Linked DNA regions of Saccharomyces cerevisiae S288C. The protein of the gene in region 2 purifies or fractionates together with the protein of the main gene of each other region. This does not show direct contact. Each region holds a gene or a part of one and is shown on either strand. Other genes may lie near its edges.

What was found. The genes of interacting proteins can lie anywhere in the genome.
Region 1: the proteins of SPB4 (region 2) and NUG1 purify together in Saccharomyces cerevisiae (affinity purification with mass spectrometry; 6 studies listed by BioGRID). This does not show direct contact.

The regions. Positions count from the first base shown.
Region 1 is NC_001137.3:160,992-164,785, reverse strand, and holds NUG1 (RNA-binding GTPase NUG1), read right to left. Parts: upstream 2,064-3,794; coding exon 501-2,063; downstream 1-500. Other genes in the region: PAC2 (Pac2p), read right to left, coding at 1-259; YND1 (apyrase), read right to left, coding at 2,344-3,794. UniProt on the Saccharomyces cerevisiae protein: GTPase required for 60S ribosomal subunit export to the cytoplasm.
Region 2 is NC_001138.5:144,413-148,574, forward strand, and holds SPB4 (ATP-dependent RNA helicase SPB4), read right to left. Parts: upstream 2,523-4,162; coding exon 702-2,522; downstream 1-701. Other genes in the region: pseudouridine synthase DEG1, read left to right, coding at 2,719-4,047. UniProt on the Saccharomyces cerevisiae protein: ATP-binding RNA helicase involved in the biogenesis of 60S ribosomal subunits. Binds 90S pre-ribosomal particles and dissociates from pre-60S ribosomal particles after processing of 27SB pre-rRNA.

The sequences.
Region 1 (3,794 bases), on a different chromosome or scaffold from region 2:
CTGACAATGCTTCGTAAAACGTAATTCTGCGTACACCTGGAGATTTAATCTTAGACTCCTTCAAAAATGATCCTGAATTAGGAATTTGAACGTCAAAATAGTGTATGTCATCTATTGTTCCAGAATGTTTTCCCCGGCTGTGATCGTCCCATTCCACCCCATAAGCTTTTACCGAAGGCCACGGCTTAATAACACCTATGAATTTGATGGTGCAAAAATATCCACCAATCTTGAGTCTGTCCCCAATTTCATAAGTCATGCTATCTCTGAAATTCGTTTTGCATTTTATATTTTGTATATCTTATATATGAAACATAATAAAAGTTGGAACTTTTTAATGATTTCTTTGTCCAAAGAGCAAAAAGGCAGTAAAACTAAAAAAAATAAGATGTATAGTAATGAGTTTAAAAGCACACCTATAATTTACAGTAATGTTATTTGATGATAAAGAAAAAATAAGAAACACCCCTTACATAAAAATAGCCTTACATATGACTTATTTATTCCATCATTGTATCTTGATCTTTGCTAGCATCTATGGCCTTGTCAAGAGAGCTAAATAATCCATCCAAATCAAATTCTTTGGACCACTCGGATACAATGGTGGATTCATTTGCTGCAATTGGAGCTTGTTTAGTGCCAGTGTTTATAGTACTTAGATTTTGTTTATCTTGTTGAGATGCAGCTGCCGATGTATTTGGTAAAACCCAACCAAGAATTTTACCATCCCTCCAGTCATTAAGTACCGAAAGACCAGCACTGGCAAGATTTGGAATACCGCCTTTCCCTAATCTACCTCTTTTACGAGCGACGTGAATTAAGAAATGTTTTGTAAACGTATCTGCATCATTAGCAGGAATAGGAGGAATTTCATACAGCTTTTTAAAGCTCTCTGTCATTTCATCTGATTTAGCTAGTCTCTTTACCAACATTAAGACAGCTGGATACGGATCAACAATGTGTTTTGCCGGTAGAGCATTTAGAAGAGCTAATTCAGCTTCATGTTCAACTTTCGATCTTTTCTTATTTTCGCTTGGGAAACATATACCAGGAGAATCTAGAATCTTCAACTTGTTGTCGATTTTGATCTCTCTCAGAGAGGTAGTAACACCTGCTTCATTACCGACTGGGCAAGCCTTTGATTGACCTCCACGGCGCGCCAAAAGAGCGTTGATAACAGATGATTTACCAACATTTGGATAACCGATAACACCCACTACAATAGATCTCTTCAAATTGCTGTTATTAGAGTAAGTTTTCAGCGACTCTAGCAGTGCACTTGCAGTAGTGGTTTGGCTTAGCTTTCTGTTGAAAGAAGTTCCGTTGACTGCACCAGAAGAAGCTCTTAATGGGATTGTAGGAAAACTAGACTTTAAGTAATTTAACCATTGTTCCAATACATGTGGGGGAATTAAATCAACTTTGTTCAGTATTAAAATCAGCCTTTTACCCTGACTTTGTAAGACGGCTTCTTCCACCTTTCTTGATCTTGTACTCTCTGGATCTCTGGCATCCAAAACATATAGGATGACATCAGAAGCATCAATAACGGATTTGAAAATCTTGTCATAAGCTTTCCTAGATTTTTCAAGTTCTGACTCGCCTTCTACATCTTCACCGTAGAAATCAATGTTATAATCAATGACGTCCAATTCATCATCACGAACATCTGCATCATTAGAGGGTGTGCCCTCATATTCAGCAGCTGCTTGCTGAGCAGACTCAACCAAAGCTGCTAATCCATTTTCATCGTCTTCTATCATGTCTTCATCCATTGCATCAACGCCTTGTTCCTTGGCAGCTTTCCTAGCCTCCAATCGTTGTTGTTTGGCAAGCTCTCTTTCCTCTAAGTCCTTCATTTTTTTGGCTTCTATTTCTTCTAAGATCTTAGCCTTATAAGGAAAGTTAGAAGGAATACCAGGGTCTTTCTTAGACCTTGATCTCCAAGTAACGTCCTTCTTAGCCATCTTCTTTTCCTTTTTTCTATGGGCAGAAGCCTTCTTCTTAATACCTTCCTTCAACTTGGTAGATGTTCTTCTAGATTGGCGCTTTCTGACTCTCATTTTATGATATTATAGTCGTGACTGTATACCTATATGCTTGTTCTTGTGTGTACCAAAGTATTACTAGTACAATTCCCTCTTGATATAATTAGCTCATCTCATCGCCTCGCTCGAAAATTTTCAGCAGCTGTGAGAAAAAAATTTCAAAAAAAAAACAGAAGCGACGTTTAGAGTGACGTGAATCACTGTTAATGCAATACTATGGCACCTCACTAGATATATACATATATTTATGTGAGAAGTATATGCGCTTCTATTTATGGCACATACACCACCACATTCAATCATATAGCCTACTGTCCTTAAATTTGGAAAAATCAGCCATAGAAAACGCAGGTCGTAAGTTTGACGGAGCGAGATTAGCGGACTGACTTGCTGTCCTTTGTGGTTCGTGCTCCCTTTGCATTGTGGCTGAACTCTTACCAAGATCAAACATACTGCTACTCTTCATCCTGTACACATCTTTGAAGCCATCTACGTCTGTTCCAAGTTCACCTTCCTCCAATCTGGAAAATGGATCTGATCTCCTTAGAAATTTCAACCTTCTCCTTATGCCTGTCTTAAAGTCCTTGGTAATGTTGTACAGACCGGAAAAACGTCTTCTGATTATGTGTGACCTATGAAAGATCAAGTAAAATATGCAACAAATAATTGCGAACCACATCAAAAATCCTTTATTAGAAAGGCTGGAACTTTGCTTGCGTAGTTGATCAGACTCCAGTAACTTGCCAGGTATGAATTTCTTACCAGTGAGCTTAGTTCTTCTTTCACTGGGCGCAATACCCACCATGAAGTCATCATTACCTGCCAATATGCTACCTGAGGCATAAAGTAAAATTCTGCCTAGTGTCCACGATAACTCTCGTTCTTCGACTTTTTCCACACTTTGAAATAAGGGCCTGTCATTGACATTTTCTGCGTCGACATCTATTCGAGGCATATCAAACCCTTCATGAAGTATATTAAGGACCCAATTGCCCTTAAAGCATGCATCTTTCAAAAAATTCTCCGGAATAGAATTATACACGCCTTTATCACTGTTCGCTAATATTTGCGTCCAATTGGAATTGCAAAACTCCCTTAGGCTTTTGCTAAATTTGTCAAAGTTGTATTCGCCCCCAAGTTTGAATACGTCGTTGGCAGTGTACCAGTACTCAGAAGTACCTATAAATTTGTCATTGGCAAAGTCTATTCGAGGAGCATGAACACCATTAAACAAGCACGGCTCGTCATCACAAGGCATGTTCTTTAAAAGTAACGGATAAATAGATTTTGTACATTGTTCGTAATTCCCAGAACCCGCGATGTGAAATATGGTATCTTTAAATTCAAAATCCGTGCTGCTTCCTCGCGGCATACATGGATCATTCAAGTTCCTTGTAGAGAAGTCATCATTTTCGTAATCATTTGTGTTTTCTGGAAGGGTATTGATCAACTGAGCCAAGTACCTTCTTCTAGCCTGATTGGCACCAAACCCTAACCACGTACTAACAAAAACGTCCCATTTCTGCAAATCTCCGTTAACACTCCTCAAGAAGATGGTGGCGATGTCATCTCTATGTCTAGCTATTTCTCCTGAATCATGCGGTGCAAACGCAATCTGAGTAGAGGCACCGCCCATGTCCATAAACCCAAATGTAAAATGGTCAGAGACCTCTGGATTATAGTCATTAAAGTGTCCATATAGATAGTTTAAGCCAAGCCAGCCATATAAACCTTCGGTTTCACCAT
Region 2 (4,162 bases):
TCATAAGTAATAATACACAAATCAGCGTGTGTTTTATACTTCTCTTATATAGTATAAGAAGATCCATATTTAATCTTCATTAACACTACTTCTTAACCTCTAATTACCAACGGGTCAATGTTAGGATAATTGTTGGCATTCCATTGTTATTAAAGGGAATCAAAGTATATTAAAAATTCTTCCCAAGGATGTAATAACCTAAAAAAGGAAGCCCATATTTCTATATAATGTTATTAATATTTTCTTTTTCATATTATTGTCGCCACTCTTTATTCCATTACATTATCAAGTCTTGCATTTCGGCTTCCATTAAATTTGATGATTATTTCTCAGTCTTTGTGCCATCTACTCACACTCAATTTTAATATAGTGTTAATATGAATACTAATCAATGAGCGATCATTGGTTCCATTACAATAACGTTGTGATCGGAACTTATTTTGAAGTTATTCCTGTCGACTGCCTGATGTCAGTATTGAGGCTGTTTGATTATTTCTGAACATAATATCCTTTTCCTGTTACAAGTACATGCTGAACAAGAGATATATATTATGCTTTAAGATGGAGTATAATGGTTTTAGAATATTTTAAATTAAGTATGCATACACAAATAATCTACTTACTCACTATGATGCTACAAGATCATCCATTGGTTAAGAATGTTGAGTGATTCTACGAACAAGGTAACTTTTTTTCCATAATTATAAGTCGTCAAAATTGCCTTGGATAGCTTTGCTGGAAACTTTCTTCCGTTTATTCTGTAAAACGATTTCTTTCCAATCCTCTTTAATACGCTCTTCTTCAGCATTTTCATCGAGCTCTTCTGCTTTCAATTCTTCCTCTATAGCCTTCCTTTTTAAACTCATCTTTTCCTTTCTCTCGAGTTTCCGTTCTTTCGTCAATGTTTTATCTGACCACGCTAAATTCTTCTTCTTCAACTCACTTTTCAGCTTCTTTTTATCATTAATCAGGCTTATATTTTTTAATGTTTCTTGTCTCTCCTTTTCACGTTTTTTGTCCTTGTATTTATATTCATCCATATTAACTGGGGGATCGACCAACCAATTCCCTGGGAAAATCCCTTCTTGTTTTTCGGTGGCTAAGTACTTTGTTATCTCAGGCATTCTAGGCAGGCGGAAAAGACCATACAATTTCGCAATACCAACATAATCTAAAGATTGAAGCCTAAAAATTGAAGTTGCGGAATGATTTGAGTAGTATTTAATAAAGGCAACATATGCTTTAACACCTTTATCAAATCTATCCCTATCTTCTAGTATCCAATTTCTAAAGTCCTCGTAAAAGTTTGTTGTTATGCCCTTTACTTCCAAATCAAGTTCTTCAAGTTCCACATTTTTAACTTGCATGAAAGGAATAAAATCCTCTTCTCTGCCTTCATTAAGAAACGTAATTGCTTTACCCACTCTATTTGCTCTACCAGTTCTACCACATCTATGCATGAACATATCAGTATTGGTAGGGGGATCAAGCTGGATGACGAGATCAACGTCGGGTATGTCAATACCTCTAGCAGCCACATCTGTTGTGAATAAAACAGAATTACTTAGCGAATCAGTAAAAGCTGTTAGAGTTTTTGTCCTTGCCGATGTTTGAAGTTTTCCATGCAAGGAAAATATTTCTACTTCATTCACGAGAATATTCCTCTTTCCCAAATACTGGATAAATGAGTAGAAGTAGGAGACTGACACACATGTTGGAAAATATACAATACATTTCTTGAATTTGTAGTTATTCAAAATGCTAACCAAAAGTTGTAGTTTTTCGGCAGGATTTACGACACAGTAATTTAATTTCAAAGAGGAGGGCGCCTGGTTCTTAGAGTTAACGGTAATCCTGACAGGATTTCTAAGCCCTGTCTTAAAGATATCTGATCCGGCGCTACGCATAGTTGCAGAAAATAGACCCGTCCTTCTTTGTTTAGGCAATAGCCTCAGAATTTTTTCGGTATCCTTAATAAAACTCATATCCAACAATCTGTCTGCTTCATCCATAACTACCATACTGCATGCTGACGTCTTTACTGCTGGCATTTGTAAAAAGTCCAAAACTCTACCAGGTGTTCCAATCAGAATCTGCGGTCTATTCCGCAGAAAATTACTTACATCATCTCTAACTGTGGCTTCATTAGTACCAACCAGGAGCTGACATTTAATAGGGAACAAGTCGGAAGGATAATGTTCCAGAAATGATAGAACGACAGACTCAATTTGGCGTGACAATTCTCTTGTTGGAGCAATAATTAACGAGTGGAAGTGTGCTTTCTTGAATTTTGATGTATTCGCTTCTTCCTTTACAACTTTTTCTAGTACAGGTATAACAAACGCAGCGGTCTTACCTGAGCCTGTTACAGAATCAACTACTACATCCTTGTTGCCAGCAAGCATGGGAATTGTCGATGCTTGGACTGGAGTCATGGTCTCAAAACCCATAACATCGAGTCCTGTCCTTATCCAGGGAAGTAAAGAAAACCCGAGATTATCCCATTCCAATGACTTTGACATTGTTTTTATTGCTGCTGAGCTTTTAATATTATCTTACTACACCTCAAATCAATGGGCTCAGCTCATCTTGAAAAGCTCACTTTGTTTTTCAGTGAAAAATTTTTGAAAGCGAAAAGCCGGCTCAAAATAAAGAATAATATAGTATTCTCGAGGTGCCCACATGCAATCTTTACTGCCCTACTATAACCTCCCTTGAATGAGTAATTTCATTAGAAGGCTAGTTGGGAAAATGAAAGCGATTTCAACAGGTACCAATGCTATTGTTAGTAAGAAGGACTCCATTTACGCAAACTGGTCCAAAGAGCAGCTAATACGAAGGATCACTGAACTAGAAAACGCAAATAAGCCACATTCTGAAAAATTCCAGCACATCGAGGATAACAAAAAGCGCAAAATTTCGCAAGAAGAGGTTACGAGAAGCAAGGCGAAAAAGGCTCCGAAGAAGTTTGACTTTTCTAAACATAATACCAGGTTCATCGCCTTGAGATTTGCCTATTTGGGATGGAATTACAATGGCTTAGCTGTTCAGAAGGAATACACACCGTTGCCTACAGTAGAGGGTACCATTTTGGAGGCCATGAATAAGTGTAAACTTGTTCCCTCGATGGTTTTACAAGACTATAAATTTAGCAGATGTGGCAGAACAGACAAGGGAGTTAGCGCCATGAACCAAGTTATATCGTTAGAAGTCCGTTCCAATTTAACAGATGAGGAACAGCGGGATCCGACCAACGACAGCAGGGAAATACCCTATGTTCACGTTTTAAATCAATTACTACCCGACGATATTCGTATATCAGCTGTCTGCCTCAGACCGCCACCTAACTTTGACGCAAGATTCAGCTGTGTTCACCGGCACTATAAGTACATCTTTAATGGAAAAAACCTTAATATTGAAAAAATGTCTAAAGCCGCATCATATTTTGTTGGAGAGAGAGACTTCAGGAATTTTTGTAAGCTTGATGGCTCAAAACAAATTACCAATTTTAAACGAACAATAATAAGCTCAAAAATTCTTCCCCTTTCTGAAACTTTCTATTGTTTTGATCTCGTTGGTTCAGCATTCCTATGGCACCAAGTTCGTTGCATGATGGCCATTCTTTTCTTAGTTGGTCAATCACTTGAAGTGCCGGAAATTGTCTTGCGTCTGACTGATATTGAGAAAACCCCTCAAAGGCCTGTTTACGAAATGGCAAATGATATACCATTATTGTTATATGATTGTAAATTTCCTGAAATGGATTGGCAAGAACCTACTGTAGATGACTATAAGGCAATAAAATTCACGACAGCTACTGAAGCATTGACGTTACACTACGAACTTAAGGCCGCAGTATGCAATATTTTTAAAGATGTTTTGCCCACAGCAAATACAAACAACTTCTCAAAGACAATTATTAATTTGGGCGATGGAAGAGGTAAAGTAGTCGGTACCTATGTGAAACTAGAGGATAGAAGCGTTATGGAACCTGTCGAAGTTGTTAATGCTAAATACTCCAAGAAAAAGAACAACAAAAATAAGTAAAATAATATATAAACCTGTATAATATAACCTTGAAGACTATATTTCTTTTCATCACGTGCTATAAAAATAATTATAATTTAAATTTTTTAATATAAATATATAAATTAAAAATAGA